Linked DNA regions of Astyanax mexicanus. The protein of the gene in region 2 interacts with the protein of the main gene of each other region in a biochemical or structural test. Links are inferred from orthologs where the notes say so. Each region holds a gene or a part of one and is shown on either strand. Other genes may lie near its edges. The genes, in order: prkcq and card11.

What was found.
Region 1: of the proteins of card11 (region 2) and prkcq, one has a biochemical effect on the other in vitro, tested with the Homo sapiens proteins (2 studies listed by BioGRID). The link is inferred for Astyanax mexicanus from reciprocal best matches to the Homo sapiens genes CARD11 and PRKCQ.

What each region holds. Positions count from the first base shown.
Region 1 is NC_064409.1:20,909,300-20,913,229, forward strand, and holds the start of prkcq (protein kinase C theta type), read right to left. Parts: upstream 2,308-3,930; 5' UTR 2,162-2,307; intron 1-2,161. UniProt on the Homo sapiens protein: Calcium-independent, phospholipid- and diacylglycerol (DAG)-dependent serine/threonine-protein kinase that mediates non-redundant functions in T-cell receptor (TCR) signaling, including T-cells activation, proliferation, differentiation and survival, by mediating activation of multiple transcription factors such as NF-kappa-B, JUN, NFATC1 and NFATC2.
Region 2 is NC_064410.1:55,733,436-55,737,365, forward strand, and holds the start of card11 (caspase recruitment domain-containing protein 11), read left to right. Parts: upstream 1-1,059; 5' UTR 1,060-1,216; intron 1,217-3,930. UniProt on the Homo sapiens protein: Adapter protein that plays a key role in adaptive immune response by transducing the activation of NF-kappa-B downstream of T-cell receptor (TCR) and B-cell receptor (BCR) engagement.

The DNA.
Region 1 (3,930 bases), on a different chromosome or scaffold from region 2:
AGACTGATTAGCATGGTGGTGATATATGAGGTGTTAGTGTGTGTTGTGCTGATAGTATGAGTGACCAGACAAAGCAGTGCTGCTGGAGTTTTCAAAAATATTAATGTTGCTTCTGAACTGAGAATACTCAACCAATCAGAAATATCCTGCCAACAGTGTGAGCAGTGATGAAGGACTAGAGCAGGGGTGCCAAACTCCGGCCCGCTGACCATTTGCGGTCCGCTTCCTTTTTTGGAGCGCCCTGTGAGGTATTTTAGAAATAGAATGAAAGTTGGGCCGCTGTTAAGCAGGTTTTTATAATGTGAGAGTCAAAGTTTGAATTCTAGGTGTCAGAAACGGGCCAAAGAGTCTAAAAGCGGAGAGAGTGCACATTTCTAGCACAGAAAAGGGGCAAAAAAGTCTAAAAGTTGTCAAATTAAGGAGTTTAATATTAAGAGACATCATGAAATGAAACATCAATTTGTAAAATCTTAGTTTACACAACACTGTCAAAGATAAAGATAGTAAGTCAAGTAAAATGGTGTGTAAATGAAAGTAATCAGGAAAAAAGTATTATTTAAAAAAAATGTTTGGACACAAAAAAAAATGTTTGGACACCCCTGGACTAGAGGATGACCAACACTGTAAAAACTGTGCAGCAACAGATTTAGAACACTTGACTCTGATTTCACTTTATCTACAAGGTGAAGCAGATAGAGGTAGGAGTGTCTAATAGTGTGAGTGAACAGTGAGAGATTAAACACAGTGTTTAAAAACTCCAGCAGCACTGCTGTATATGATTCACTCGTACCATCATCAAAATACACACTTTGCAACGGGTCCATCTTCAGAGTCAGTAACCAATACACTTCAAAATAGTTTTCATAGTGTTCAACAGTTCATCTGTACCTTACAATTACAGATAAACACCTGTAAAGCTCCACCAGTCCAAGATATAGTATCCTGCGGGGCACGAAATTATGCCATGTCACCGAATACAAATATCTAGGTATTTGGTAAGATAGCAGCTTATCCTTTGCCACTCATATCACTAAATTACAGTCTAAAATCAGATCTAAAATTTGCCTCCTTTACAGAATGCATTCTTGCCTAACATGCTGTTTTTGCAGGTGGTTGCCAAAAGTTGAGATGAACCATTTGCAGATAATATGTTAATTTTACTAATTCAGGGAAGCAGAACTATTTTTCCCAGATCTTTAAACTTTAAAATGGGTCAATTAGACCCAGAAAATAACAGAAGGGTTAATGATTTGCTGGGTAAAAAAAGGTTTAATTAAAAATTTAAAAACACCTCATACACCTCATACACCTTGATAATCAGTGCTAATCACTGCAGTACTGAGATAAATAATGACCCACCACCCAAAGAATACAGTATCTGCTCTGCGGTGGTCTCTCCTGTGGGGTCCTGATCATTGAAGAACAGGGTGAAAGAATGAGGATAATAATAAAGTATACAAAAAAAAAACAGATACAGAACTACATTCTGTTTTATTACTTAATAAATGACATTCTCTGAGCACCTCAATTGGATATATTATTAAGCATGAACACCATTTTTGTACAAAGCAGGATGCTGCTGCAGATGCTACAGTATGAGAGCAGACAGTGAGGAGCGTTGGGGTTGGTGGAGTATGAAATTTGCCTGTACTGTGTGTGTGGTTTCCTGTAAGTGATGCTGTAGAAGAAAAACATACACTTACTCTAGATAAGCTATACATATGTTTCTGCCTGTTTCATCACCGCTCCTCACTTATGACTTCGACAGCAGTAGCGCGCTCCTCATTTACAGACTCAAGTATATGAAGATATGCTGCGCTAAAGCTTTTGAATATATGTAATATAACATTTGTACAGTCAGTAAACAAGCAAAACTGTTATGGTCAAAACTTTCCGCATAAAAAACATCAAAATATTTCCATATACTTTTAACCAAAAATTCTAACTTTTCCAGAAGCCGTACTTTTTATGCTATAAAGACAAAATTTGGCATAATTAAATTACTAACCATGTAAGTGGTAACCCGTAGCACAATCAGGCTGAATTATGTCTTTGTGAAGAGAGAGAAAGAGTAGACACAGAGAGAGAGAGTGGACAGCATTTAAAAAAAAAGTGAAGAAGAAATTGGTGGAGAATGCAGGACGGAGAATAAAGCACTTACCGGCAGCAGCCTGCTCTAGTTCCAGCTCCCAGTGTATGGCCTGCTGCTGGGGAAGAGGGTGAAGTTCTACTTGGTAGGCGTGTGTAAGCGCATGTATGTGTGTGTGTGTGTGTGTGTATGCGAGCAGCACAGGAGGTGAAGTTTACTTCAGAATAATACCACACTATGCCGGTACGGTTGCTTGTGTCAGTGTGTATACGTGTGTGTGTGTGTGTGTGTGTGTGTGTGTGCGTGACCGCAGTCCGCCCCCAACACACCCGATTTCCTCTCACCAGCAGCAGCAGAAGATAGACAGAAAATATCCAACCTGGGCAACTTTGTGCAGTAACACTCCATCAGTGCTACATATGTTTTGTAACATGTCGAATTTGGCTGATAAAATCCTTTTTGACTGTAATTGTGTTAATTTTTTTTTTTTTTTTTTTTTTATTAAGTGTAATTGCCATCACATAAATGTAAATAACATTAAACAACCAAGGATACTGACATAACCACATACTATGACAGACCTTGGCTTTTGGATTTGTTGCTGATAACAGTCTGGATGGTCCTTTTCATCCATTTCTTCTAAAAAACTAAAATTCAGATGGGTCTGGTATATGTGTAAGGGGGTTGGGGAGCGGTAGCTCTCCAGCCCAGAAGGTTGTAGAATCCAAGTGCAGAGCAGTAGATCTCGAAGCAGGTAAACCCAAGAAAAAAAAGGATAATAATAATAATAATAATAATAATAATAAATATATAATCGTTAATATATATATTAATAGGATATATATTAATATTATATAATATATATATATATATATATATATATATATATAATTATTATTATTATTAAACCCCGCTCCACGCGGGGATCGAGCTGTCGCGGTCGCGGCCCAATGCTCTAACCGCTGAACCAGCGAGCGGATTGGGACGCGGCCGCTTTAATCACTCTTAAGGACCTCCGCCGAAAGGGGTGGAGCAATGAAAACGGGCGGAGGATGAAAACGGGTGGAAAACAAAAGTCAAGCTTAGCGTGAGTGAGAGAGAGGGGGAGAATACGTAACTAAGGATCGCCTGGAAGCGGCTACCTCTTATGGCGCGAGGTGAAGGATTAACTAAAATAAAAGGACTTCCAAAGAAAACAAAACTGAACTAAGGTGATTGTGGATTAAATGCTGTTTCACCAGAGAAGGGAGAAACAGCGAGGGAAAGAGAGAGGGTGAGCATACCGCGTGCCTCGCCTCTGCTACACCCACACACACACACACACACACAGACACAAAGAGAGAGTGACGGCGGAGGAGAGCACACTGCTCTGCTCCACCAGACTAGAGAGGTAGATGGCGGCCGTGGAGCTCACTGCTCTACACAGCTCCACCAAACTCGAAAGGGAAAGAGATAAATATAAAGAGCCGGGGCTCGCTCGGAAAACCGGCATAGATTCGCTCTCACGAGCTTCAAAGATCCAGCGCCGAGTGGCTAGTTGGCGTTGCTTATAAGCTGTTGAAAGCAGGTGTTGATAATTAGCCAATTAGCCCTCGGCGCTGGCCTGGCGCGCCCTCTGATGCCCTGGAGGACACTGAGGCCGGGCCCTTACCAGCCCTTACAATATGTTTCTAATATGTGATGGTTCATTCCAGATTCGTCTGAGTCTTCAGAGAAGTGGACGTTGTTTCTGGACAATACAGTTTGTTGTTGATAAAGGTTGGTAAAGTATTCTCTAGATCATGTGATTCTATCAGCTTTTGTTAAACAATGGCTCTGGATGCAAAGCGTCTAAGGAATTG
Region 2 (3,930 bases):
ATAACAGCATTATAATTTATTAATTTATGCTACAAAATACCCCAAAAAAGGTGTCATTTGGTAACAGGAAATTACTATTATTACTATTATTATACAGTAATATGCTGTAATTATACACTTCTTTTATGTTATGTGTGTATGTAACTTACTGTAACATTATCAAGAAATATTTACAGTGAATATTCCTACTATTAATAATAATACTTTTAAATTTAAAGTACAAGTCAAACATTTGGACACACCTTAATTAATTGTTCCTAAATTCATTTATTTTCTAAATTGTAGATTCATATTAAATCCAGGAAAACAATTAAGAGACACATATAGAATTATGTAGTAAACCGTAAAAAAATGTCCTCCACATTAATCCCCGTGATCTAAACTTGAATCTTACAGCACTCCATGCCTCCCTCTGCTGAGAATTTTTATAGAAACGAGGATTTCATTTTCCAGCAGGACTTGGCACACTGCCCACACTGCCAAAAGTACCAAAAGTACCAATATTCTAATTTTCTGAGACACTGATTTTTGGGTTTTCAATGATTTTACCAAATTTACCAAACCTCTGGAATATAATCAAGAGGAAGACGAATGATCACAAGCCATCAAACCAAGCTGAACTGCTTATTTTTTTGCACCAGGAGTGAGTGGCATAAAATTAACCAAAAGCAGTGTGTAAGACTGGTGGAGGAGAACATGCCAAGATGCATAAAAAACTGTTATTAACTTTACTTTTTAACTTTATAAATATAAACTTGTTTTCTTTGCATTATTTAAAATCTAAAAGCTCTGCGTTTTATTTTTTGTTATTTCAGCCATTTCTCATTTTATAATAAATAAATGCTCTAAATGACGATATTTTTATTTGGAATTTGGGAGAAATGTTGTCTGTAGTTTATAGAATAAAACAACAATGTTCATTTTACTCAAACATATACCTATAAATAGCAAAATCAGAGAAACTGATCCAGAAACTGTAATGTTTATAGAGCATCTCTCTCTACAGGGTTAATGTATTTGAGTAGACTCTCCTGTAGCCCCGCCCCCTGTGTGTGGGCGGGCCGGCTGTCTCTGAGTGTGTGTGGGTCAGGTGTAAGGTTTGTGTAAGTGGAGGAACTGAGCTGAGCTCCAGGCTGAGATTTTACCTCTCCTTCCTCTGGGTTCGTGGGCCGGAATGTGTGCTGGGTGCTGAGTTGTGGGAGCGGATCTTCTACAGGTGAGTTCTGGGCTGGTTTTAGAACTGGTTTAGAGCAGAGAGCTGTGTGGACAAGTTTGGTAGAAGTTGACGGAGGACGAAGCGCTCGCGCATCGCTGCGCAGCGACGCAACTCAAACCCTGAGAACCTTAAAAACTGCACCTGCTGGAGCACAGCTGAGTGCAACTGAGATGACTTGAGTTAAGTTGAGAAGTATTGAGTTAATTGAAGTCCTAGTCGAGTTATTAGGCTCTTTAAGAAGATCTGGAAGTTTGTGTGTGTGAGGCTGGGTTTTGAGTTGAAGTACTTGTTGGAGCAGTTTTGAGTTTTGAGTGTTTGAATTTGAGTTGAGTTGAGATTGACTTGAAGATAGGTGCTTTTTCAGTTCCCCTAAAAGACTTAAATTTACACAATCTTCTGTGGTGTAAACCAAACACCAAATGTTGTAGTAGTTAATCAGAGTAACCAGTAGGGGTGGGCAATATTATATTGTATACAATATATCGTGACACAGATATACCATGATATTAAAAATCCATATCGTGATAATAGGGCTGTTCTGTCTTACAAGTAGTCTATTATTTACTGTGAAGCTTTAGGTGTATTTATTGTATAATTGTTTTAGTTGCAGTTTATATGCATGCACTGAATATTCTGCAATATTTTTTGCTGCATTATATTATTTTATGCTATATTATTTATTTTGCCACATTATGATTATACTGTTATACTATTATACTATATTCCTGAAATTAATGAATTATTTTAGTTTTCCTATATCGCCAAGTATATCGTTATCGCAAAAATACCCTGAAATATCTTGATATTATTTTAGAGCCATATCGCCCACCCCTAGTTACCAGCATCAGAAACCACAAGTTAACAAGCTAAGTCCCAAGATATAAGCCATCTAAATGTTTGTTTAACACTTTTAAGTTACTACATGATTTCTTATGTGTTCCTTTATAGCCACACTGAATGAGAAGGTTTGTCCCAACTTTTGACTGGTACGGTATTTTTAGGGCTCTATTGTTTATTACTATTGTGGACACAATTGTTTATTTAGTGTATTCTTCTTTTAATAATTATTGTTTTTTTTTTTCAGAAAGATTATGCTGCACAATTTGAAAAGATTTTTGTGAAGTAGTTGTGTTGAGGTTGTGTTCTACCTGCAGAACTTTTTCATATTATTTTCATATTTTCTAATTTATGGCAGTTCATGTTTTTTTTTTTTTTTTTTTTTTTTTTTTTTACAATATTGGAATAGTGCTACAATTGGAAGAGTTGAAGTGAATATGGTTTAAAGAGACAAGAGTAAGCTAAAGTATGCACTATATTTTCTATTTTATCATATGTGCCACCTATAAATCCAGAATTCCTGGTATTTTCTTATTTATGAATATTTTATTCTCTTCAATGACACAGATGCTGTGAAGTTTCATAGTTATAGAGAATTGTCTTGCAATATATTGAGTATCACAGATTCAAAGTATCATGATTTCATCTTTATCACGGGTAGCATATTGTGATAATATGTTTTGCAACACTGCAACTTTGCAACACATTTTATAAATATATATTTTACATGGTAAAGATTGGTGGAAGACAGAGGTTTACTTTATTATGTATTTTAAACTCTGATTAAACTCTTTGTTTTAGTGCTGTTTTCAGATCCCATTGATCTGATTGGATCAAAATTTGATAATTTGTTTAATCCATATACTACTATGTTTTCCTAAAATATCACAAAACATCACATCATTCACAGTATCACATTATATTGAATTGTAATCTGTATCATATCACATCATATCACATTATTTTCATTGTCATATTTGCTCAAAATCTGCTCTCTCAAAGTCATTTAGCCTCACAAATCACAGACTATTTAGACTACAAAACTACATTTATCCAGAGATTGTTCCCATCATGTTTCTGGTCAATATTTATAAGAAACTGTTTGAACAATTGAAGCATCAAACAATGGAGATGACGGGAGAGCTCTGCAAGAGTCATCTAAATGCATTCTTCACAGGAAACATGTCTGCGGTGTTTGAAACCAGTATTAATTGTGCATGTTGACACACCATGAATCATGTTTCTATGTCATATTTGCTCATATTCTGATAATGCCTTATATCACCAGTAAGTTTTTAGGCCTTTACATTAGTCATAAGTCTGATAGTTTTGTGTTTCATGTCTGAGCTGCATGTATTTATTACAGTTAGAGGTGGGGCGAAATCCATTTATTCATACTTTCCTATCGTCTCAAAATATTACTGCTGTATATGGTACAACACACAGCACAGATGGGTCTATTTTAATGTTTTTCCAAACCAAAAAATGACCAAACAAAAAGTTCAGTTTGCTCACACGTGGCTCTATTTTAGTGACCTATAGGCAAGACGTCAACCGCACAACATGCAGCTTGATTTTGGGCATTTCAGTGTGTCTTTGCTATCGTAACGATGGGAAAAGTACACCTTGCACATCTTGAAAAATGCAAAAGGTGTGTACTAATTCTCCTAATTAATAATGGTTGTGGTTTTGGGCGTAATGTGAAATAAATCAGATCAGAATCAAATTGTCACTTTGCATTCCCTTTAAAAACCAGATGTGCTTTGATTTTCCTCTGGCGCATTGCTATTCTAATGGCGCAGTGCTTCTGCGCTTTTCAGCAGAGGAAATTGATCTGCTCGTTCACGCTGTGTTTATTTTTAATGTAAAAGTTGGAT